Drosophila melanogaster: one gene and its partners. The protein of the gene in region 2 interacts with the protein of the main gene of each other region in a pairwise test. Each region holds a gene or a part of one and is shown on either strand. Other genes may lie near its edges. The genes, in order: CG16826, bsh, Bap170 and mil.

Region 1 (4,367 bases), 6.4 Mb from region 2:
CTTTTCGCTGAAACTGCAATACATTCTGCAGGCCCCTAAAGCTCGATGGCCATCATTAATGCAGCCATTATTTCCCATATTTTTTATTTTTTATTTATATTTCTCCTTATCGTAGGCAGGCCTGAAAGGGGGGCCAAGTTAATTTCAGAGCACACTTTACGTGCTGCAATTTGGAGCGTTTCAGTTGCATTCGGACCCGGGCCAGCAGCACATTTGGTAAGCAATAAATTGACCCGCCAGCCGACGCCATCATCTACTTTAAAAGCATTTGTTGCCACACCGCCACCACCCAGAACCTGTGGCCGCGCCCCCAATCAGCAGCACTTGGAGCCATCCGCCGCCCTGTGACCTCCTCCAATCCCCTCCAGCAGTTGCCAGAGCGCCGTACTCGAAGCGGCGACGACGCTAAAAAGATACCGGAAATGTTACAGGAAACAAAATGACTTAATGGCCGCGATTGCAACGGCATGGAATCGTTTCAGGCATCCTCCTGATCCTGGTCCTTTTCCATTTTCCTTCATGCTCCTTGGTCCATAGCCTGCTGGCATTCATGGAGGTTGCCGAGGTCAGCAGAAAAGCATAAAGGAAAGGTTATGGCACGGCCATGTGCTGAATGGATACCCTTCTTCAGATCGTCTTTGTTTACAAACATATTTTATATCAATAAGTCATAGTTATTATTTTTAAAAAATAATAAAAAGTTAAGCACTCTTTTAAGTGCTCAAAGAATAGCTATTAAAAAAGGTACTAAGTTTAATAAAATACTTATCACGTGTAAGACAAATATATTCTATTAAGGTCAAGTGATATTTGTGATGTAATCCCACTTACATAAACTTTTTTGAGCTAGCATTTAAGCTCATGCTTCTCGAATTCCCCACATGAATTGCTTTTCTTAAATGGACCAGACTCTCCCACTCCACACCTGATGTCCTCTAAATGGAGCCGATGATGAGCGTGATCCGCCAAAGGCAAGTTACTGCCCATACGACCCGACCCGACCTCTTTCTTTAAACAGGTAATTGCAATTGCGACATCATTATCATATGCTAAACGGAACTGATTGCTATTGAAACGGTTTTGAGGTTTGAATTTCTTTTGAGCTGAAACATATTTCTAATTAAATTAATTAAGCGAAGCGAGAATATGGCAAGTATGCAAGCCAATTAGTGGAAAACGCAAAATTAAATGTCTGTGCATTGAGGAGACTGCAGCGGTGTGGAGTGGATGGGTGTAAAAATAGCTGGGAAAAATGGCAACCAGAAGAGTGCGGGATCGCTCCGCCAACCCATTGTCCTTGTCCATGGAGCACTTTGTTGGCCACTCCGGCTATAATTGCGTTGAGACATGTAAGCTTTTGTTTTGCAGTTAGGCGTGTGGCTGTGCGACAAAGTTAATGACAGCATAATTAAACAAAACTAACAGCAGACTAATAAAATGTTCATAGTGCATGTCGCTCAAGGCCTCGGCACATCACCACGCCATCACAACCCCATCACCTCGCCACCCACAATGCCAGCTACTTTCCATATCTCCAAATGTATATACATTTATACAATACATATACCTGGCGAGCATTTCATGTCGTTGTGTGTCAACGTTTGTCAAGCGACAATTAAAGTCATAATAAAGGCATGCTAAAGACAATTATTATGTGCACGTCCTGCCACGCCCCCCAAAAAGAACCACCCAGTTCGTTCGGTTAGTTATGCATAAAGTTCGCCACAAAAGGGTTTAACCTGAGCGTAAACATGCGCTCCTTTGTCTCGCAGGCATATAAATTTCAAAATTAAAGCAGAGTTTAACCTTTGTCCTTGTGCAAATGGCAGGGTGGGTCTATAACCACCTGCCTGCGATTGTGTGAGACCCGCATAAAGAGCCTTCGGTTTTAATGCACGCGAAATTGACTTATTTGATTTATTTTCATAGTTTAAGCCAAGGGCTTTTATTATAAGCATGCTTTAAGTGAGTGGATTTGAGAGGGGATTTTAAGAAAATGCAAGGCAAAAGTTATATTTATATTCGCGTTGTTAATTATTTATTGAGTACTGTATTTTGCGGTGATTAAAAAAATAACGTTGTGTTTGAATAAAGAAAATCATTGTCCTCATAACACTGAGAATGCATAAAATAATTTTTTTTTTAATTGCCCCCAAGTACAGTAAAACAAATGTGCACAGAGCTTTCTTCGAAAAGTTATCCAACCAGCATGCATTCCACTATTCGCTCATTATGGAAAGCGGCTGATTAAATATTAACTAATTTAATAAAATGCCGGCCTGCTTCAATATTGAAATAGTCAGCGAATGTATTTGCCCAAGCGCACGTAGCCGAGATATATAAAAGGTGGTCCAGGGTGCAGAATGATTAGGCTATCCGTTGACCGACGATGCATTCGACCAAGTCAGCCGTTCTCCTGCTCGCCCTGGCCATCAGCGCCAGCTGCGTTGTTGCCACACCGCATCCGGAATTCTTGGATGAAATCTTCGGCTCCATAAACCAAACTGGCCAGCACATCATCAGTGGATTCGTGAATGCCACCAGGAATGGCACGGCCATTGCTGGTGAGTTCCTGGACAGCATAAGGAACTCCTCCGCCCAGTACACGCACGAAACCCTGGAGTTTGCCCAAAAAATCGCAGATGCAGTTCATAGAGCCGCCACTGAGTCAATCGTCGACTTTTCCGCGACTCTGAGGGCGCAGATCGACGCACTGCATCAGGGGATTGATCGGGTGAGAAACATCCTGCAGCGAGAGGCACTTAAGGATGCTCTCGCCAGACTGCAGACCGTCAATACCGTCGTAAATGATCTGGAAGTGGCCGTGAATAACCTCAATGATCGGATAGACGAGAAGAAACAAGAGTATTTCGCCATAATCCAGAAGAAGTGGTACCAATGGTCTGACGCCCAATTGGAACGAGTGGATAAGCTGACGAATGGAGTTGGCAACGAGGAAGCCGAGGAGATCATAAATGAGCTACTCTCCCGGTATTCCGGATATCTGCACAGCTGCCTGGAGGAGTTGCAAGCGCAGCAAGCCACGTTTGAGCAAAATGTCCAAGAGGCCATCGAAAAGTACCACAATGCCACCAACGAACTGACGGACCAAGTCGAGCTCTGCGTCCAGTTCAACCTCAGCTTCCTGTCCTGCCGCAATGGCATCAATGAGGCACTACGCGGACTCGACTCGGCTCCCGCGGAGCTGCTCACCCTGAAGCTTCAAGGCATCCGACTACTGGCCATCGGCCTGAATGCCAGCGGATGTGTGGGCCAGACCCTGGCCGAGCACGAGCTGGAGAAGCCCAGCGTGGAGCGCAAGCTGGATGAGATCATTGCGGAGTACCAGGAGCAGCAGACTTCCACCGATGACGACTCTAGCTCTAATAATGAAACGACCACCATAAGTTCGTAGGATTTCGGGGAGTCATCCAGTAATGAATATGACAACTCCAGCAATGACGACGAATCCTCATGGAAATATTTACAAGAACGTATAGTGTATTTTAGGTGTCGGGTAGAAGCAGCAAAATAAATTACTCTAATGCAACTAAATTAGAAATTGTTTTCCTTCATCGTTTATCAATGATGTTTCTTAATAAACTATGCCAAGCTTCTCAAAATATTTCTTAACTTTGAACAGTACTTTAAAAATTACTCTACCGCAAACGTATTACCCAGATACCGATTAACTTCATCAATGGTGCAGCACATTTTTTGCGGATGCTAAAGCAATTATTTTAAAATTGTCATATTCATTTATTTAGGTAAGGCACGAAAGTCGTGGCAATTTAAAGACACGAGGCTTTAGTAGATTAATTATTTAAATGCATTCGATTCTGCCTTTATATGTAAATTAAATAAGGGTGCTAAATAATATAGAAAAAGGGAAAAAGAAACTAACTTGCACTCTTAGCACCTCCCCTACTAACAAATGATGCAAATGAACTGAGTGAATTCCCCTTAAAGGACTTCCCCAGCTGCTATAAATATAAATAGTTGTATAACAACAGTAACGAAAGGTATAACACTGAATTAACAATCTCAACTGCTATAAAAATGAACTTTTGTGCTTTTGTATAACAGTCAATTGAAGAGGACACGAAGCGCGTAGTACAGCGTTTATAAAGTTTTATGCTGTTATATTTTTCAATGAAAATGTGTTATTTCATATCGAATATAACAGATTTGCTATAATATTCAAATTATGGCTCCGTTCAACTAGCATACATCTGATTCTCATTTATAGCTCATACGCCATGTATACATAACTAACGTACAGCTGGGTAAATTACATTTATAGCTCATACGCCCTGTATAACACGTGTACGATTTCCCCTTTATGACTTTGCGAGGGGGGCACTAAA
Region 2 (6,566 bases):
GACGTTCATGTAGACAGCGCAGAAGGATTTGCCAGACAAACTGACACAAAATGTTGTAATTGCCCCAAGGAAAAGCACCCTCCTTCAGCTTAAACCGCAAAGTGGCTGGCAATTCGATGCCCCAGACGTAGTAGCATTTTTATTATTATAAAAATTAGGCTCAGTCCGTCGGACGGGGCACGTGCAACAATGGGAAATTAGGCAGACTAAATGATGGCTCAAAAATATGATCTGCCCTCATAGTTGGCCATGGGAATCTCTGCTCGCAAATCCGCTGATTTCCACCTAGCGAGAAAAATCAATAAAAAACGCAAGGTAGACACGCCACCGAGCAGACTCAAAAAGAACTGAACAAAATATATGTCCTCACAAAGGCCCTTTGGCACGTTCATGTCAGCGGGTTAACAATGGATGACACCGAAGAGTAGTCCATGGAGGAGGAGGTGGATGTGGAGGCGGAGCAGCCAGTTAAGAGCTTTCGGCCAGGTGAGAGAAGTGCTCATCTCTGGCTGGGATACCTTTTTCCAGCTTTCCACTTCTATGGAGCTCTAAACTATATGTAACTATAGTCTCGAGATATTTTATTCTATTAATATTCTTTCTCTAAGATAAATATCAGTTTTTATTTCTCATATATGTAATAATAAATATATTTATAATAAATAATAAATAATAATAATAAATATATTTATTATTAAGGTATACAACCCTTAAATTAAAATTTAATTTAGATGGGATTTCATAAAATAGATTTATAGAAAATGAAAAGAATATTATAAAATAGATATTAAAAGAAAAACGTTGTCTTTTTAGGAACTATGAATCTTATATCTTTTTAATTTAATAATTTTAAAATTGGTAGAGCACTTCTGAAATTAGGTTATCACTTTTAAGTACTATTATTCTAATATCTTTTAAATACAATTAAATATTTTTATTCGTTAACACAAACCCCATAACCCCCCAATGTCCTTAGAGAAGCTGAGATATTTTTGCCCAGGAACAGGGCAGCACATCCCCAAGCAGACCCAACCATCACCGCGATCACTCGAATGCCATCCTAATGCGCCCATTTTAGGGCTTTAACCTAATAATGACGTTCGACTTAGTTTGCGTGACTTATTTTATTAATAAAACGAGCAAATTTGTCTTGCTTTTTGGTCGCATCGTCGTCATATGCTTTTTCTCTCTCGGCGATGTCTCGTTATTGTCCTTCCTTCCTGCTCTGTTTGTGGAGACCCCCCCCCCCCATATTTCCCTCTCTCTGAAGGAATTAAGGACTTTCCGCTGTGAGGAAAGACTGATTCTCAAAGCAACAGGACGAAACAGGACGAGTATAGTTGCGAAAGCAACCCCTCGGCGAGCTCTTCGCCGATTGGTGGCTTGCTGGAAAGGAGGCACGCCCCCTTTTTCGATGGTGTCACTTGGTTGGGTGCGGAGGGGGCCGGGTGTCCTTGGTGGGTGGTGTACGGCTATGTGGGGCTCTGATTCAATTAACCGCGCGGGGAAAAAATATCTGAATGCAAAGCAGGCGAATGCTTGGCCCCAACCCAGCGGGTACAGTTGCGCTGGCTCCACCTAGCAATTATCCTGTCACAGCAGCAGAATCGATTGTTTAATTCAATTATAATAATTGTGGCATTTAATGCACGCACATCATCAGCCAGACAGCCAACAATGGCGGCCGTGACACGTTAATTATGACAAGTGGGTGCCAAATGGGCGGCTGGGGACGTGGCAGGATGTGCCTGCCTCGCAAAATGGCGGCAGAGCAAGGACGCATAGTTGTGCAACTTATTTGCGGCTAACGGGGGTCAATTAAACTAAGGTTTTTCCGCACTAATCGCATGTCCAGTGGATGCCAGCAGAGAGATGGGTGCTCAAAATCCTGCCAGAGCAGGACAACCCTATGCGCATGCAAATCGAGGGGTGTGTTCATGTGCCCGCTTACGGGGATTCCCCGAATATTGCCGCTCTAAGCGGGCACCGCAAAGCGGGCCAACTGCAGCCGGATTGAGGAGGGGGTGGCACTGCCTGCGCTCGCATTTTTTCCCCCCCTTCGATTTTCCCCTTTTCGCAGGATGCAGGACCATATCGCCGGCTCGCTCGCACATGTCTGCTGGCAGCTCGTTTAGAGCAATTTGCTGGTTGATGTGCGGTGATTGCCGCAAACTCAACGCGACCGTCAACGAGCAAACAACATAAGCGCGCGCGCGGTCCAAGGACACGTATATATCCCGGCTGGCTGGCACATCTCCTGGCTCCGGTCTCCATCACTGCTCCTCGTGCTCCTCCTGCTCGGCCATCCTCCAGCGCAATGGCAATGCTTAATGAGGCCAGCTTGAGTCCTGCGGACGCACATGCTCATGCCAACGCCACCACGCCCACGCACAGCAAGGCGGCGGCGATGGCCAGTGCCACCACAATGCTGACCACAAAAACGCCGTTTTCCATCGAGCACATATTGTTTCAAAACTTAAATAGTGCCAGCAATAACAATAATAGTAGTGATACCAACGGCATCGCCGCAAACACCAACAACTACGCGCCAAAGAGCAGCAGAAACGCGGTGAAAAGTGCCAGAAGCGCATTTGCCCACGACAATAATCCGCACAAACATCCGTCGCAACATTCGCATCCGCCGCAGTCACATCCGCCGGCGTCCGCATCCGCATCCGCGACGGCTACTGCCCGCAGCAACCAGGCTGCGTCGGGTTACGCTGGCGAGGATTACGGCAAGTCCATGCACAGCACTCCACGGTTGGTTTCCGAATTCCAAGGCCTAATACTACTGCAGTGAAATTTTAGTTTAAAAAACTTTAATTTTAAGCCAATATAATTGCATAGAAAAGTGAAAAAAAGTAATTAAAATAAAAAAAAAATAAATAAAAAATAAGATAATATTAACAAAGTGAATTTATAAAAGAATAAGAAGTAAACATGAAACATCAAATACGATAGATAGTCACACCTTCTTGAAGACAAATATTTTGGAATAGCATACACCTTTAAAATCTTACTTTGGATTATGTTCTTTTAAATTATAGAATATTTTTTGTAAGAAAAATGATATTTTGGAAACATAGAAATCAGGCTTACCATAAAGCTTAATGTATCTGGGAATATATATTTGTATTTAAGCATATTAGCATAAAAATCACTATTGGACATAAAGAGAATAGTTTAACATCGAAATACCAATAGACCCCTAATTGAACCACTTGCTTCGTAGGTCCAACCACCACTCGCGACACGGAACTTCCCACTACAACGGAGATCAGATTTCGCAGCAGTTGGGATCTGGAGCAGCACAACATCCGCCGGTGCCCACGACTCAACCTCAACCTCCGCCTCCGCCGCCCCTGAATGGAGGTAGTGGTGCATCCAATGGAGTACTCTATCCGAATGCACCCTACACCGATCACGGATTTCTTCAAATGACCCTCGGATATCTCTCGCCGTCGTCGGGCACCTACAAGTCCGTGGATCCCTATTTTCTATCACAAGGTGAGTTAATGCTCGATATTACAGAGATATCCTCCTAGATGATTCTGATTTGTACTGGTACATACAAACATGTTGGTAATAAGTTAAAGTCGAACTCATAGAAATTAAAAGTCAATTCTAGCTAGAGTTTAGCTAATCGAAAATGAAGTTGGACATATTCTCATTAAAAAGCCAGCACAACATTTAATTTCACATTTAGAACTTTTTCAAAATGAAACCCAAATTAGTAGGACAACTGATGTTGAAGTGCAGTTTTTTGTTGCCACATAGCTTCATTTAGGGGCACTAAAACTCGAAATATTCGGTGTAAATGGCCATCAACACCGAAAGTTTTCATTTGTTCCAACTATAACGAAGTTAACCAAATTTTGCATCCTTTGCCCTTTCAGCCAGCCTGTTCGGGGGAGCGCCCTTCTTCGGAGCGCCTGGCTGTGTGCCGGAACTGGCCCTCGGACTGGGAATGGGCGTGAATGCCCTGCGCCACTGCCGCCGGAGGAAGGCTCGCACGGTGTTCAGTGATCCGCAGCTGTCCGGTCTGGAAAAGCGGTTCGAGGGACAGCGATACCTGTCCACGCCGGAGCGTGTGGAGCTGGCCACCGCCTTGGGACTCAGCGAGACGCAGGTGAAGACCTGGTTCCAGAACCGCCGCATGAAGCACAAAAAGCAGCTGCGCCGGCGCGACAATGCCAATGGTGAGTATATTGATTTCATAATCACAAATTTATTATGAGCAAATTAAATATTACGAAATTTATAATACTCAAATCAAGTTATTTAATATTCAAACCTTTTCTGGGCTGTTAAGAACAACTAGAGCGAAAAAGAGTTGCTCAAGTTTTCCAGCTTTTAGACAATGCAATATTTGAGTTAGCAATTAAATTGTCAAAAGGCATTTCGAGCAGGAGTGGTCAGCGGTTTTCAAATTGGTCACAAAGCACCAAAAACTAGACCACTGGAGTGAGTAGTTTCTTTGAGGAACTTTTGGACTATCAATTAGACCTTTTGGCTTTTAGCCGGCTCCTTGTGATGCAAAAAGTTTTGCTCAAGTTTCAACGCAAATCAAATTAGTTCTAAATTTTGTGGAAATTTCTTTGACTCTTCCATGCCGCAGAGCCCGTCGACTTCTCACGCAGCGAACCGGGCAAGCAGCCGGGCGAGGCCACCTCCTCATCCGGGGACTCCAAGCACGGCAAACTGAATCCCGGATCTGTCGGCGGCACACCCACTCAGCCGACGAGCGAGCAGCAGCTGCAGATGTGCCTGATGCAGCAGGGTTACTCCACGGATGACTACTCCGATCTGGAGGCGGACAGTGGCGACGAGGACAACTCCAGCGACGTGGACATCGTCGGCGATGCGAAACTCTACCAGTTAACATAGACAGTTCGATCGGGATGTGGACCTGGATCCTAAAGTAGTAAAGTTTTCGGTGTTTCAGTTGGGGGAAATACAACTAAAAGAGATTTTCAAATCAAAAAATATCAGTTTCTTTTACTAAATGACTTTTCTATTAGACAAGCACAGAAGTTACAAAACAACACATATATTATCAGCGCGAGCATGGTTATACCATTTTGAAAATATCTATTATTACGATTTAGTACGAACTATAGTTCCTTATAATTGTGGAAACTTACCCATCAGTTTCACCATTGAATTAATTGATTGATTATAACAGATACCATCCAGCTACTCTAGCTGTTTTGATCTTGTCCAAAAGAAACATATTTATTTTGCTATAATTATAGTTGTATTTCCCCCCAGATACATATTTGAATTGAATCGAAAAGCCGTGTAAATACCAACGAGTTCTTGAACGAGTTTTCTAGTCATGTATTAAGTCTAATAACTAATCAAATTTAGTGATTGTATTCGAGAACTTCCATTTTAAGATACATTAGTTCCCTGCGACTTCTTATCCAGAACATAGTGCTTACAATAAACGGAACGGAGCGAATTACGCGAATGCTGGAGAAGTGTTACTGGGTGGGTGGGTGGTGTAGCTTGATGCCCGCCCCCTCGCCGGGCAATCAAATCCAATTGACAACACAAAGTAGCAACTAATATGGTTAAGCAGCGGGAATACTGATGTATGGGGTTGGCGACTGCCACGCCCTGCGCATGTCCTGCCGCCCAAGTGGGCGGGCGGAAGCGGGTGGGATTGGATTGAATCGGGGTGGATGGAAATGCACTTAACAATGGCAAAATAATTGCGGGTTTTCAGACAGCCATTTTAGTGAGACACCCATTGTCAAGTGCGGAATAGAGTGAGGAGGTAAAAGTTAAATGTTTCAAATTGATTGGTAATTACGGGTTAGCAGGAATGCTCTCGAAAAAATATTAATAGTTTACCCGATTAAGAATGAGTCTTGGAGGGAATGGAGTTCCATATGCTTATATACATGTAGATACCTTTGCAGTCATCAAAACTCATGGATCTATTTGTTGAGAGAAGTTATCATTTTTAGTTTCATACTTTGGACTGTTAAGACTTTTCTTGACGTCAACGAAGCATATTCCAATTCTATTCTGGCGATTAAATGGCATATGTACATATGCTTGTTAATAATATGTATTTTTTTATATAAATTTCGAGTGTGTATTGAGTTATGCTCAACTTGGTAAACATGCGAATTAATAATATTCGGAATAATATACAACCTAAGGTCGAAGCAATGACAAGTCGCAGTCGCTTTAGCCACTTGTATTTTCCCAGTGAATACAGAAACTAATAAGTAGTACTCTTGGGCTTATCTTGCTATTGATAAGCTCAATGTGAAATAAACTGCTAGAGACGAGCCTCCCTCGATTTTAAGAGGTTGGCAATAAAAATCACAATAAATGTTTTGATTTTAGACTCTTAGTTAGTATAACTCGTATTCTCATGGACCATTTCACATCATACTTATTGTTTAAAATGTTCTCACAGTGAAGCATTTAACGATGGCATTTTCATCGGTAAGCCTGACCACTCTCCTCCGCTCTTCATATGTGGCTCCCTCTTAGTTTTGGAGCCATATGTCTGCAGCTTATGCTCCCCATCTGGACTTGGACTCTCT
Region 3 (8,703 bases), on a different chromosome or scaffold from region 2:
TCTACGGTGATTACACAGGGATGGGTGTCTAGACGAGTGGTGGCTTTTACTTTAATAACCTGCCCCCTGAGCTCCTCCTCCAGCCAGGGAATCAAAGTGTCGAGCTCTGAGCGCAGCAGACTGCCCTCGCCAAAGTCGGTGGTCGCTGTTGTCTCCTTGGACTCTTCGCGCATCTCCTTCTCCACGGAAACGAGTTTTTTGCTTTTGAACTTGCCCAGCTGCATGAGCACCAGCTCATCATAGGGTTCGTAGCAGAAGAGCACCAGCTCGTTGCGCTTCTTCAGACTCTCGTAGTAGGGCGAGGACTCGGCAAGAACGCGGTTGGGTGCTGCCAAGTAGTAAATATTCTGCTGTTCTGCGGGAACGGCGTTGTAGTACTCCTCCAGCGACATGCGCCCACTGGCGGTCTCCGACTTGGAGGATTCAAAACGCAGAAGTTTAGCTATTTCTTCTTTCTCGGAGGCGTCGCTGGAGGTTACAATTCCTTCCTTCAGGAAAAGCCCATAGTCCCGGTAGAAGGCCTCGTACTCTTCTGGCTGCTTCTTGGACCGCTCTTGCAGGAAACGGATAACGCGGGTGGAAATCACACTGGACAGTTTGCGAATCAGGCTGCTGTTCTGGAGCAGCTCGCGACTCAGGTTGAGTGGAATGTCCTCAGAGTCGACAACACCCTTTACAAAACGCAGCCACTTGGGCAGCAGATGCTCAGTCTTGGACTGAATAAGCACCTTGCGGGTGTAAAGAGCCACACCGGTGTTTCCGTCCCGAGACATCTCGAATAAACCAGGCTTTCCTTCGGGGAAGTAGAGCAGTGCATGGATGCTCAAGGGTACGTCAGCATTATAGTGTAAGGTGAAGCGCGGGACATCGAAGCTATTGCTAATGAACCGATAGAAGTCATGGTGCTGCTCCTTGCTGATGCTTTGTGGCTCAAGAAGCCACAGAGGCTTGATCTCATTGGCCTGCTTTCCGTTAAGCAAGATGGGTGAGCCCACAAAGTTGCTGTATTTCTTGATTACCGCCTTGATCCTCTCCTCGTCCGCATATTCACGGCAATCGGTCTTTAAATGAAGCACGATTCGCGTTCCCAACTCAACGTCAGGCACCTCTTCGATCTCGTAGGTTCCACTGCCATCCGTGGACCAACGCAGTCCGGGTGCATTAGGCACAGCCGCCCTCGTGAACACCTCCACCTTATTGGCGACAATGAAGGAAGAGTAAAAGCCCACGCCGAACTGACCAATAATGTTCGAGGATGCCTCCGAGCTGGCTCCCTGCTGGGTCCCCTTCATCTGCTCCAGGAACTTCTTCGAGCCGCTGCGTGCAATGGTGCCCAGGTTGCTGACCAGCTCCTCCTTGGTCATGCCGATGCCCGTGTCCTGGATGATTAGCTGCATCAGTGGCTTGTCGGTGGTGATACGAATCTCCAGAGGCCGGTCCTTTCCAGCCAGATTCTCGCCTCCAGCGCTCAACGAGGTGTACCGAAATTTCTCCAGCGCATCGCTTGCATTCGAAATAAGCTCGCGCACAAAGACCTCGTGGTCGGAGTATAAGGAACGAGCCACAATGTCAAGTAGCTGGCGCGTCTCTGCCTGGAACTCATGCTTGTCCACCACTGATCCTGATGCCTGCTTGGTCTCCGTGGAGTAGCGACGGAGCGAGAGAGCTGCAAGTGAAAAGATGAGTGTTATGTAAACATAAGAATCCCTCCGGGGAGCCGGTTGCTTATATTCAGTGCTTACCACCCGGCGAATGCTGCGATCCAATGGTGATATTGAACGCTGCTGGGGCGGATCGGTGACTCTGCCTCAACACTTGGGCACAGCGACCGAGGCGGCACGCCTGGCCCAGCACTCCCATCGCTCGTACAGACATCTTGTTGTTTTAATGTTTTGCCCAACTTTAATGTTACCCAACTACGAAGTTTGTTCCAGCGCACATGTGTGCACAGTGTAGCCAAATCAATCGATTGTAAGTATTCGATAATAGTAAACTGGTAAAACCCTACTCATAACGGTGTTTTCTTCCAAATTTCTGGGCTGTAATGAATTTTGGACTCAAATGCTTAGTTGGTTTGAATAAGAGTTACTACATGTAATGGAGAGTTCAGTTTCATCACATTATTCAGCTCAAAACTGAAGCAAACTGCCAGCTGACTAGTTCTCTAAAGATTTCGATCAGCAAGAGAGAGAGAGAGAGATAGAGATGTTTCAACTGTGAACAACAAACCGTAAATTCTGAAGGAATTAAGAACAGATTACGTTTCATTGTTTAGCCAATGTAGATTGGATGCTGATTTTTGAGTTATGAAATAACAAATGTCTTCAAAGAAGACAGTAAATAAAAGAAAGTTAAATCAAATCCAATATTGAAAGACATCGATACCTCATATCGATATACGGTCCAATTGCTGACAGCCCTGCTCGTGAATGCAACTCTGCTGTAGCGCGTCAGCGTCGCGTTGTAATTTTTGTTGAGTTTTTTAAATAATTTTAATTAGCATCTGCGTGTCTTACTATTAGAATATCATGTGTTAAGTGTTTCCCATTCACGCCACCACACAAAAAGATCCAATCATGAGCGCCACCACCATCGACAACGTACGGGTGCTGCTTCAGTCGCTGCCTGCTGCCGCCGTAAACAGCGCCACTCAGCCGGGCGATCTACAGACGCCGGGCAAGATTGCGGCCCCAGCGACTCCCCTTCGCGCCAAGAATCCCGCCCAATTACAGATCATGCCGGAGAAGGTCGAGGAGATGCCGCCGTCACCTCCGGAGGAGTTCTGGAGGGACCTGCAGCAGTTTCACGAACGACGCGGGTGAGTTGCCGCGGCTCTCCTGTATTTGGAGACGACCTAACCCACTTTCCCTCTGCCCAAACAGCACTCCATTGACACAGCCCGCCAGGATCAGCGGTAAGCATGTCGACCTGTACAAGCTGTACAACGAGGTAACCGAACGAGGCGGCTTTAATAAGGTGACCATGCGGGACGAGTGGGACGAGGTGTACAGCGCCATGGAGACATTGCGGGAGCGCTGCGTTAACGGAACGGCTAGTATCAAGCACATCTACAGACGCTACCTGGACAAGTACGAACGGTTGAACTTCTTTGGCGAGGATCCAGACAAGATGGAGGCTCTGGAGGCGGCTATTGAGATTGTAGAAATGGGCGGTGGACGCTCGCGATCTCGTTTTTTGGCTGGCGCCGGTGGTGGCCTAGGAAGCATTTTTGGATCAGCACACTCTACGTTGCCGGCGGTGCCAATGGCCTACAACCAGCGCCAGCACTCTGTTAATGTGGAACGACGCCGACAGTACAAGATGTCCACGCAGTTGCACCGACACAGCAGCTACGAGAAGCTGCTGTTGTCTCTGCTTTCTCCGCTGCCCAATGAGCAGGACTTCGCCATAAACGTGTGCACACTTATGGCCAACGAGGCGCGCCACACCCTACAGCTGTCCGAGTGCCCCAAACTGCTTGATGTGCTGCTTGCTCACCTGGGAGTCTACGCTGACTTCACCATGCGCCAGCTGTTCCAGCACAGTTACACCGAGGTTCGACACCATTCGCAGCTCAGTTTCTGGCGCGACCTGCTACACGACAAGCCACAGGTCCTAGAGCTCTACACGGATGAGCAGGCCTGGCTGGACAACGGTCTGATAAGTAAGGAGGACGGTGAGAACTCTGCCGCTCGAAGTGAACTGCTGGCGGCCTGCGACGAGTTGCACTTCCTTAATCTGCGCCGGAGCAACGGGACTGATGAGCGCATGGGCCAGCGAGTGCTTCAGATTGTCCAGCTAGTCCGTACACTCAGCTTTCATCAGGAGAATCATGCACTCTTGGCCTCCAACCGCACGTTGTGGCGATATTTGGTCATGGGAGCAAACGTACGATGGAGTAAGTTTTTTTTATCTGCTTAGAAATTATATTTTTTGGCGCTTTGAATGTACGAAGTATCAAGGTGCTATCATAAATACACTGCAAGGAAATTGACTATTGCGTAGCATAGCAATCCCGAAAGAATCAATTTAAAATAAAATAACTGAAACACGTTTCGCTCGTTCTAGGCAACATTCACATCCAGGCCCTCGAGACCGCTGGCAACCTGGCTCAACAATTTGAGCTGCTAGACCCCACCACTGACGAGCTATCGCGGAATCTTTTAGCTACTCTCTGCGAGGGTATTGACTCTAACGACCGCGCGGTGATCATGAGCTGTCTGGAGATACTCTATAAGTTGTGCGGACGAGAAGGCAATTCGCAGCACATCAATCGTTGCCTTGGCCTGGACTTTTACCAGCGAGCCATGTTGCTCCTCTCGCTTACCGACGTCATGATGATTATCTTTACGCTGGAGGCAGTTTACGCACTAAGTGCTCTTGGCGCTCGGCCATGTTCGATGCTGATGCAAGTACGTGGCCTAATAGACCAGCTGGTGACCCTTATCACAGTGGAGGCTCAGTCATATGGCACAGGCGGTTGCATATTAATGCGTGTCGTAGAGGTTTTCCCCGGAAACATGGCTGCCTCGCTGGCTCAGAACATGCCCGCCATTCTTGCTCCAGGTCCCACTTCCCTGACTACACTTCCAACATCGCTGCAAGTAGCTGTTAAACCGCCAGCAGTTTTACCCACGCCTACACCCGCCCAGACGCAAGTGCTGCCTCACGGAGAGCAAACACCCTTGGTTACAGCTCTCCCCGGTCTGCCAATGCCCAGTCTGCCACAGGTTCAATTGCCTGTACCCAGTCTGCCGCAGGTACAATTGCCACCAATCGCTGCCACCGTGACCCTTCCCAGTCTGCCCTCCGCCTCCCAGAGTTTTACACACGAGGACGAACAGTATGCGCTGGCTTGGCTGGGAGCCACGTATGAACGGGCTGGGAACGGTAACGATCTCCGTGTGGAACAAGCGGAACTATACAGAATATATTTATCGCATTGCCAGAAGGCGGGTAAGCTTTCAGTGGTTAATCACATGCAGTTTCCTCGTCTAGTGCGGCTTATATTTAATCAATCGGTGGGACCAGTAATTGTACGGCACCTGGACGGAATAGAGCTACCTGGGACGTACTACGTAGGCATTAGGATGCGAGCTCAGCCGCTAGCCATGCAACAGAGACCCACCCCCAGCATTGTTCCTGTTAAAAAGGACACGCCAATATTGCCCAAGCAACCATTTAGTGATCCTGTTCAAACGGAAGTGGCGTCTGAGGAAAGCGTTTCTTCTGCAGTCACGCCACCCCCAAGCTCCTCGCTCATCAAAAGCTTGTTGGCCAACAAGGTAACTGAACGCCAACAGAAGCAGAAGGCCCAAGCTCAGACGCCGCAGCCGCCAGCCCTTGTGGCTACCACGGCATCGGGCACAAATGCTACCCAGCCCATCAAGGTAACCTCAACAGCTATAAGCGCCTTCGTGAACAACCCGCTAATGCAGCACACACCGGTGAAGGTGGGTCAGACTACCATTAAGCCGTTGCACCCCCAGATGGCCATCGAAAAGAAGCCAATCACTGATTCGGCCCCGCCACCTCTCGCTCCATTGAGTGGTGCAAACGTAGTGACGAAAGACGCCAGCGGGCGCACTCTCATCATTGCATCAGCAGCTGCCAAACGAAAATTAACCATTGACGAGGAGCAGAATAAGCGTCTGGCTTTAGATGCCGCTGCCAGCAGTTCCAGCAGCTCATCTTCTGGCGGCAAGGAAGAAGCGCAGGTGACTCCCTCGAAGAATGCAGCCAATCTCTATGCGGATCTGGCGGCATCTATTTTGGAGGATGAGGATATGGATGACGTTCCACCGCTGGCCAAACCAAGCCAGGAGCAAAGCCAGCAGCACCCGCAACAGGCACAGCAGCTTCAACTCATTCCGGCTAAAGTGCAACCAACCCAACGTCAACTTGTTTTCCCCGGTAGCAATGTGGTTTCTCCAGCTCCGCATTCCCAACTAAAACTTGCCACCACGGCCACCATAAAGACGGATCAGGGCTTGCAAACTGTGCCAGTGATCCTGCAGCCCAAGACTGCAATGGATTCCACGCCAGCTCCGCAGACGCAATATGTTCTGGCCACCAACCAGCAAGGCCAGACGTATCTTGTGGCCCAGCAGCCGACTATTCCGACATCCACGCAGTCGGCACCACCCACTCTGCTGGTGACGCAAACACCACAACAACAAACGAAGACCATAATAATCCTGCAGCAGCCAGGAGGAGTCTCTGCGGCGAACGTGGCTGGCACTCAGAAAATGATAATGACAACGGCGCAGGGCCAGCAGGTCCTGGTTACCACCACCACAGCTCCACAACTGGCCCAACCGCGTACTTCTACCCCCCAGCAGCAAATCTTTATCGCACCCCAGCGACCAGTTCCGGCGTTGGGTGCTGGCCAAATGTCGCCTTCACTGCTGTCGCAGTTGAACCAGATCCCGGCTACTATAAAGCTTCATCAGCCCCAACCACAGCCGCAGCTCGTTTCGCCGCAATTAGCACCCCAGCAGCGATTAGTTGCCGCAAAGCCGGGCGCTTCATTGCCCATTCCTCAGCTCCAGCAACATCAGTCTATCATCCAGCAACACATAATCTCGGGCCCCTCCACTCCTACTTCCACAGTTGGCGGTACGGTTGGTGGGGAAAAGAGGCAGGTAATTCTGGGCGGAATCAAGGAGACCACGCTAATTACCCAGACGTCGGCCACACCGGCTCCCCTGCAGCAAAGCCAGCTTAACTCGCAGACGATCATCACTCAGTCACCTACCAGCACGGCTATCGTAGGAGGCGTGGCTCTTCAGCAGCAACATCACATTCGATCTGTGTTGGACCAGCAGCAGCAGCATCATCCATCCATCATCCAACAGAAGATAACCATGCCGGCAGTAAGTTGGGAACTGGGGCCGAAATTAAAGAATTATTATTTTTTTTTAAGTATATATACAAGGGTCATTGAAAAGTATGTAAACAGCTTAAAATTTGATTTCATAATATGCCCATGCCCGTTCTAAATCCCATAAATCGCATCACATTCACATTCCCCATTTTTAAATGTTTCCATCGCGTTTTCACTACTTGAGTGGCGGGTTTTACAGGATCTCTTTTCTAAATAGCCAACAGGTGTATGGTAATAAGAATTGTGCTAAGATGACTAAAACAAATATTTTAATATATTATTTTAGATTTCCGAAGCGACCAAACCGAAAATAGCACCCGTTCCAGTTTCACCAACTGTAACTCTCCTAGCAAAAAAGCCGGCGCCGCCACAACCTGCTCAAGTATCTAGCCCCAAGCCATCAGTCACCCAGGCTGTTGTGGTAACGACGTCAGGAACTAGTGATTCAACGGAAGGCGGCAAAACAGTTGTCTTAGCAACCAGCGAGGCCAAGCCAGCGGAATCAGAGGTAGTAGCACAGACGGTTGTCCCACCTGCTGTCGTAACTACAGGTCCCAGCAGCAGTTCTTTGGTTGTCAGTCAGAGCGTCTACGCTGCTTCTGGCCCGAATGCCAACCCCACGCCCTCTCCCATGCCCGTGGATGCAAATTGGTTGTACATCTGCGACTGGCGGAACTGTCCCCGCAAGAAATTCAAGTCTCTTAACGAGCTGCAGTACCACGTGTGCAGTGTCCACTGTCCAGATCACCTTGATTCTGATGCCGACATTTATTGTCAGTGGGGCAGCGGACCCAACTTCTGCGACAACAGAGCGCGCAAACGGTACTCATTGATGACGCATCTGATTGACCGGCACCTGACAACGGAGAACTTGCGCGCCAGTGTGCAACGTCGCCTGGCAACTGGGATTCACAATGTGGCGCCCACCCAGGCTCCCGTGACCATAGTGCGCAACGAGGGTCATGCCCAACGATTGGCGGGAGGCGCTACTGGTTCACCTTCGGGTCCTGCTTCAGCGGTTCCAGTCGTTGGCAGCGCCGCAATGCAAGCTATGAACCGACACACGACTGATTACACGAACGCTAAAGAGCTGATGGACGAAAATGAGGGTCCAGTCACCAAGAGCATCCGTCTGACAGCGGCGCTCATTATACGCAACCTGGTCACCTACTCGGCTACGGCCAAGAGAAGCCTGAAACGCTATGAGTCACGCTTGGCCAATGTCGCCTTTAGCAATGTGGAGGCTAGCGGAGTGCTCTCCCACATCATGTACGAATTGAGCCAGTAAGCCGATATAGCTTACCATCAATATGATTATTTAACTGACTTGTAAGAACGACACTAAAAAAATGTGAAAAGCAAACCATACCTTGTTTGTCTAAATGATTCATACCATATAGCACCAAAATATGGGAGATTCGGGAGTAAGATTTTAATTTGACTTCTACAATTCTACGAGGCTTAGAATTAAAGAGCTATGGTGGACATTATCAGATATACTCCTGGTTAGCAAATAAACGTTTTGAATTAATCGTTCAAAACATACTTTGATTTACATTGTTCTTATAAAATATTAATTAACACATCTGAGTTATAATCCGTTAAAAGAATCCGAACCGAAGAGTCCGCTAAATCTTCGTGTACTACAGTGAAACACTTTTTATCGCCTAACGTAAGATATTAGAATGGGATGAAATCAGGTTCATCATACAATAGCTTCTCCGTTCTTCAAAAAGTTTTCATCGTCCAAAATCGTATACTTGTTGCTCCTGTACGTGTCCAATTCAAAAATGTACTTCTTGCCGCAGTCCTTCATT
Region 4 (4,398 bases), on a different chromosome or scaffold from region 2:
AACTTATTAGATGCGTTGTCTGGTTTATGCAAAACCAAAGGCAACACTGGCCCCTGTCCCTCGGTGCACCAGCCACTCGCGTATCCTAGATCCTGGGAGTTCTGGCCACCACCTAGTTCCATTTAAAATAAGCAAAGCAAACTAACAAAATTCGTTTATGAACGCCATGCTGCCTGCAGCTCAAGGAAAGTTCAACCAAGGTGCAAAATAATTTGTTGCAATCAGCTTAGCCTGGCCAGGATTCCGAGGATGCGATGCCCTTCGCCCGATGCCCGATGCCCGACCAACCAAAAATGGTTAGTGAGTGCCATGCCCTGCCATGGTTGCGTTTCTGGGGCCGGGCAAGTTTTCAATTTAAGTTGAATTATTATGACCTTAATTAACACGTCGTTTCATCATCAAATGCCGCACTACATCTTATGCTTTTGTTGCAGATATTTCGGCATGGCGCCGTTGCTTCAGTTTCAGGAGCAGGTGGAAACGTAGGAGTTCCAGGCTGCCAGGTTGCCTGGCTCGTGGATGAGGATGTTGAGCTCCTGATTCGATTTTCTGCAGACATGCACTTTTGCCAGGAAGGAGCTGAAGCAGGAGCTTTAATCCCTGCGCCAAGTAACTGTTGCTCCGGTTGGTCGGGCTGCGCCAAACCATTCCATTCTGCTGGGCTCTACTAATTTTGGTTTTAATTAAATTCAAACTATGTTGACGCTCCCGGCACTGACGACCTCCGACGAGCGGCAATCACGTGGGTGATGGCCATGGTCCCCATGTTCCTCCAAATGATCCTGATGATGCTGATGATGATGGGGCTGCTCCATTACTTATGTAGCTACATTTTATGCACCGCCTAATTGAATGACCGAAATGTAAATTGAAAATGCCCGAATAGCTTAAATGGTTGTGCACTTGAAGAGTCCTTGATTAGTTGATCTTGATTAGTTCCCAACTATCGATTTCCATCTCATTTGGATTAATACCTAACTATCTTGCATATTCCATTCCTGCTAATGATAATGACGTGAAATATATATACATACCAATTATTTTGCACAGTGCAGGCATACACTCGTACAAATGTGGAAATTGGCCAGCCAGAGCCGTCATCATCAGATGCCTGGCTGCCTTACACTATTTGCGTTATGATTTCTTTTTAATTTCCCAGCGGTATTTAGGGAAAAAATTTAATAATATCAAATATGAGAGCAGCGAGTGGTGGATGTCCTGTGGAGACTGGACAAGTGCATGTGCCGTGTGTCGTGTGTGTTTGTATTTGTGGGCAAACATTCAACAGCGCACAACAATGCGATCTCCCGCTTTTCCCGCTTATCCTCTGCGGCTTTCATTTGGCGGATGTGTGTGTGCGTTGTTGTGTGTGTGTGTGTGTGTCTGGACTTCCGCTTGGCTGAATTTGTTTACACTTTTTTTTCGCCCGCCGCCACTGGCCCACTCATAATTTCATTTTGAAATGTTTGCCTAAGCGACAATTTCACTCTTTTTTTTCACTTTTTTCTGTTGTTTTTCACAGCCGGACATATGGCACTAAGCCTGGCCCACATTATTAAAACCAGCGACAAAAGACAAGCGACTCTCGGATAGACCAGAAACTGGGTCCACGGTCCATTTAACAGACTCCAGGAGGCGATGGCGATGGCGATGGCGATGGCAATGGCTGAACCTGAACCCTTGGCGGCACAGCACTCAGCACGTGATTTGCATACACTTAGGCCAGGCTGGCGGCACCCAGTCCAAGCTTTTGGCCCACACTTAATTACATGCCAAATGAAAAGTTGGCGGAAGCAAACAAAAAATTTTGGGGAAACCAAAAATATATAAACAGGAAAAGAGCAGGAATTAAATGTGCGTTAAATTGCCAATAAACATGGCCTGCATCTCAATGGGCAAAGTAAGGCGAAAGGGGTGACTAAAACAGCAATAACACGAGGGTTTAAAAATGTAGCTTAAAAAAAAAGAATAATAAATTGCTTAATATTTTCTAGTACATCTAGTTAGTTCCAGCACTTTAGTGAAAAGCGGGCCTTGCCTTTTGTGCTGGGAGTTTTGGGAAACTGATAGAGCTACTTTTCATTCCCACAACGGCAGTCACAGCGAAAACGCACACGTCCAAATTTTATACTTGAACAAAACCAAATCACTTCAAGAAATATTTTTTTTATTTTTCTTTTGATTATCGTGTCGAAACATAAATGGAAACTGTGCGAAATCGAAACCCTCCGCGGATGAAGTACACCGCTCCACCGAAGATGGAATCGGATTTAAACTTCACCGAGAAGGAGAAGAAAACTCTTACCGAACTGAAGCAGCTCTATTTGGAGACCATTAACCTGGATGTGGCTCTGCAGCGCGACATTTACAATATCGAGAAGAAGTACGAGGATAAGCACAATATCATATTTGATAAGCGCAAGAAGATTCTAGAGTAAGTCCATTAATGGTGTTTGGTTAAACAAGATCTCAATTCCCCCAAAAATCCCATCGGTGCAGTGAGTTTAGAAAGCAAAACCACGGCGACGTGGAAACCAATCAGAGCGTGCCCAACTTTTGGCTGAGGGTTCTCAAAGCATCGTACACCGAGTTCATCAGCAAGAGGGATGAGAAAATATTAGAGGTATGTTATGGATAGATCCGATTTGAAGGATATTTAAATTTTAATTGAAATTTTTCCCGCGCAGTGCTTAAGCGACATCCGTTCTCGGCTGTACAACGAACCCGTGGTGAAGTTTGATATCGAATTCCACTTCGATCCCAATGATTACTTTACCAACACGGTGCTGACCAAGACATATTTCCTCAACTGCCTGCCGGATCCAGACGATCCGCTCGCATATGATGGCGCCGAGATCTACAAGTGCGAAGGCTGCGTCATCGACTGGAAGCAGACCAAGGACCAGACCAAAACCGGTAAGCCATCTGGGAGCATCAAATTTCACAGATGTTAGTTGAATTCACTCATTGACCAGAAAATCAAGAGCCGTCGTTCTTTGAGTTCTTCTCGCCGCCGCTTTTGCCAGAAGATACCCTTGACCCCAACTACTGTGACGTCAATGTAAGATTGAATATCAGCGATCTGCGATCCTTTCACATGCATCTCCTCCCACAGGCTATGCTGCAAAACGATTTTGAGGTGGGCTTCTATCTAAAGGAGCGCGTGATTCCCAAGGCGGTGATCTTCTTCACCGGCGAGATTGCCGATTGTCAGAGCTCCAGCGGATCGGAGACCGAGTCGGAAGATACCGAGGACGAGTCGGATGCCGAAGAGGAGGATGGCGTCGACAAGTAAACATTTTACACCGCTTATATACAGTTTACATACATTTTTAACTCGAGTCACCGAACTATTGGCCTGTCCTTACCCACTACATACCAACCAAATAAACATTTCATTATACATATTTACCAAAAGGATCTCGCGCGCTCTTTTTAATGCCTAGCTAAAGGAATTGAATTGTGGTTTTGATTTATACAGTGCGTTTAGCCTGGCGTGTATATATTACAAGGACTCGAATAGTCAAACGTAATACTAGATGGCTGAGCTACAGCACTCGCTTGTAGCCAGCGTTGTGGATCCATCGGCTTGGCCATGTCGTCTTTTTTCTTAAAAAAAAATAAAATAATCCAGCACGGCCCACTTCGACGGAATCTTTACAAACAATATTCTAAGGAGCCACCACCTCCTGTGGCGGTGGCGATTTCGGTGGCTGCTCGTCGTCGGCGCGCGGCGGTGGCTGCAGCATCACCACCACCGTGTCATCCTCTTCCTGTGTCTCCAGCTCCGGAAGTCTTTCAAACTCCTCCAAGTGATTGGCGACCACTTCGCATTTCGGTTTGGAGATCTTGAAGCGCCGAATTGCCGGAAGCGTAATGCTGGTGCCACTAACATCGATATACACCAGATTCGGAGAGCACTGCACCAGGTGCTCCAGGGTATGATTTGTGATGAGATGGTAGTTTCGCAACGACAGTCGCTCCAGTTTATTGTCTGGCGAGCGATTGATGTTCCGGATCCAGACAACGTCCGGTTGCACCGGTCGATCAGCTCGGCCAAAGCTATACATCGCCCGATCGGTGACATAGTATTGAGGTGTTGTCTGACAGGAAGGCGGACGTGGGCGCACTCGTCGAGCATAGTCGCGATCCAGTGGCTCGAGCATGTTCCAAAACATCGGATGCTGAACAACCTGATCGTAGTTCGGACGCGGATGCGTACGATGGCGTCGCGTCGGCATCAGAACATTCATCGGGAGTGAGAATTGTTGATTGACATAGATATACCGTTGCTCCGTTCCCTGCGCAAATACGGCCACAACACTACGCTGTTGGCGCGGGTTAGCGTTCTCAGCGTCGGGCACGTAGATGTAAGCGCGCGGGGGTCTAGGATCCAAG

Evidence for each region.
Region 1: the proteins of bsh (region 2) and CG16826 interact in a two-hybrid assay, tested with the Drosophila melanogaster proteins (one large-scale study listed by BioGRID).
Region 3: the proteins of bsh (region 2) and Bap170 interact in a two-hybrid assay, tested with the Drosophila melanogaster proteins (one large-scale study listed by BioGRID).
Region 4: the proteins of bsh (region 2) and mil interact in a two-hybrid assay, tested with the Drosophila melanogaster proteins (one large-scale study listed by BioGRID).

What each region holds. Positions count from the first base shown.
Region 1 is NT_033779.5:13,345,408-13,349,774, forward strand, and holds CG16826 (uncharacterized protein), read left to right. Parts: upstream 1-2,365; 5' UTR 2,366-2,389; coding exon 2,390-3,415; 3' UTR 3,416-3,613; downstream 3,614-4,367.
Region 2 is NT_033779.5:19,764,681-19,771,246, reverse strand, and holds bsh (brain-specific homeobox), read left to right. Parts: upstream 1-2,179; 5' UTR 2,180-2,317; coding exon 2,318-2,760; intron 2,761-3,232; coding exon 3,233-3,507; intron 3,508-3,896; coding exon 3,897-4,199; intron 4,200-4,618; coding exon 4,619-4,887; 3' UTR 4,888-5,471; downstream 5,472-6,566. UniProt on the Drosophila melanogaster protein: DNA binding protein that function as transcriptional activator. May play a role in the determination and function of cell types in the brain.
Region 3 is NT_033778.4:6,634,113-6,642,815, forward strand, and holds Bap170 (brahma associated protein 170kD), read left to right. Parts: upstream 1-2,399; 5' UTR 2,400-2,576; coding exon 2,577-2,818; intron 2,819-2,882; coding exon 2,883-3,898; intron 3,899-4,068; coding exon 4,069-6,875; intron 6,876-7,172; coding exon 7,173-8,174; 3' UTR 8,175-8,246; downstream 8,247-8,703. Other genes in the region: Trap1, read right to left, coding at 1-1,666, 1,743-1,875; Fmo-2 (Flavin-containing monooxygenase 2), read right to left, coding at 8,592-8,703.
Region 4 is NT_033777.3:27,910,367-27,914,764, forward strand, and holds mil (milkah), read left to right. Parts: upstream 1-2,080; 5' UTR 2,081-2,201; coding exon 2,202-2,434; intron 2,435-2,499; coding exon 2,500-2,623; intron 2,624-2,687; coding exon 2,688-2,916; intron 2,917-2,975; coding exon 2,976-3,061; intron 3,062-3,115; coding exon 3,116-3,295; 3' UTR 3,296-3,419; downstream 3,420-4,398. Other genes in the region: CG5003 (uncharacterized protein), read right to left, coding at 3,672-4,398.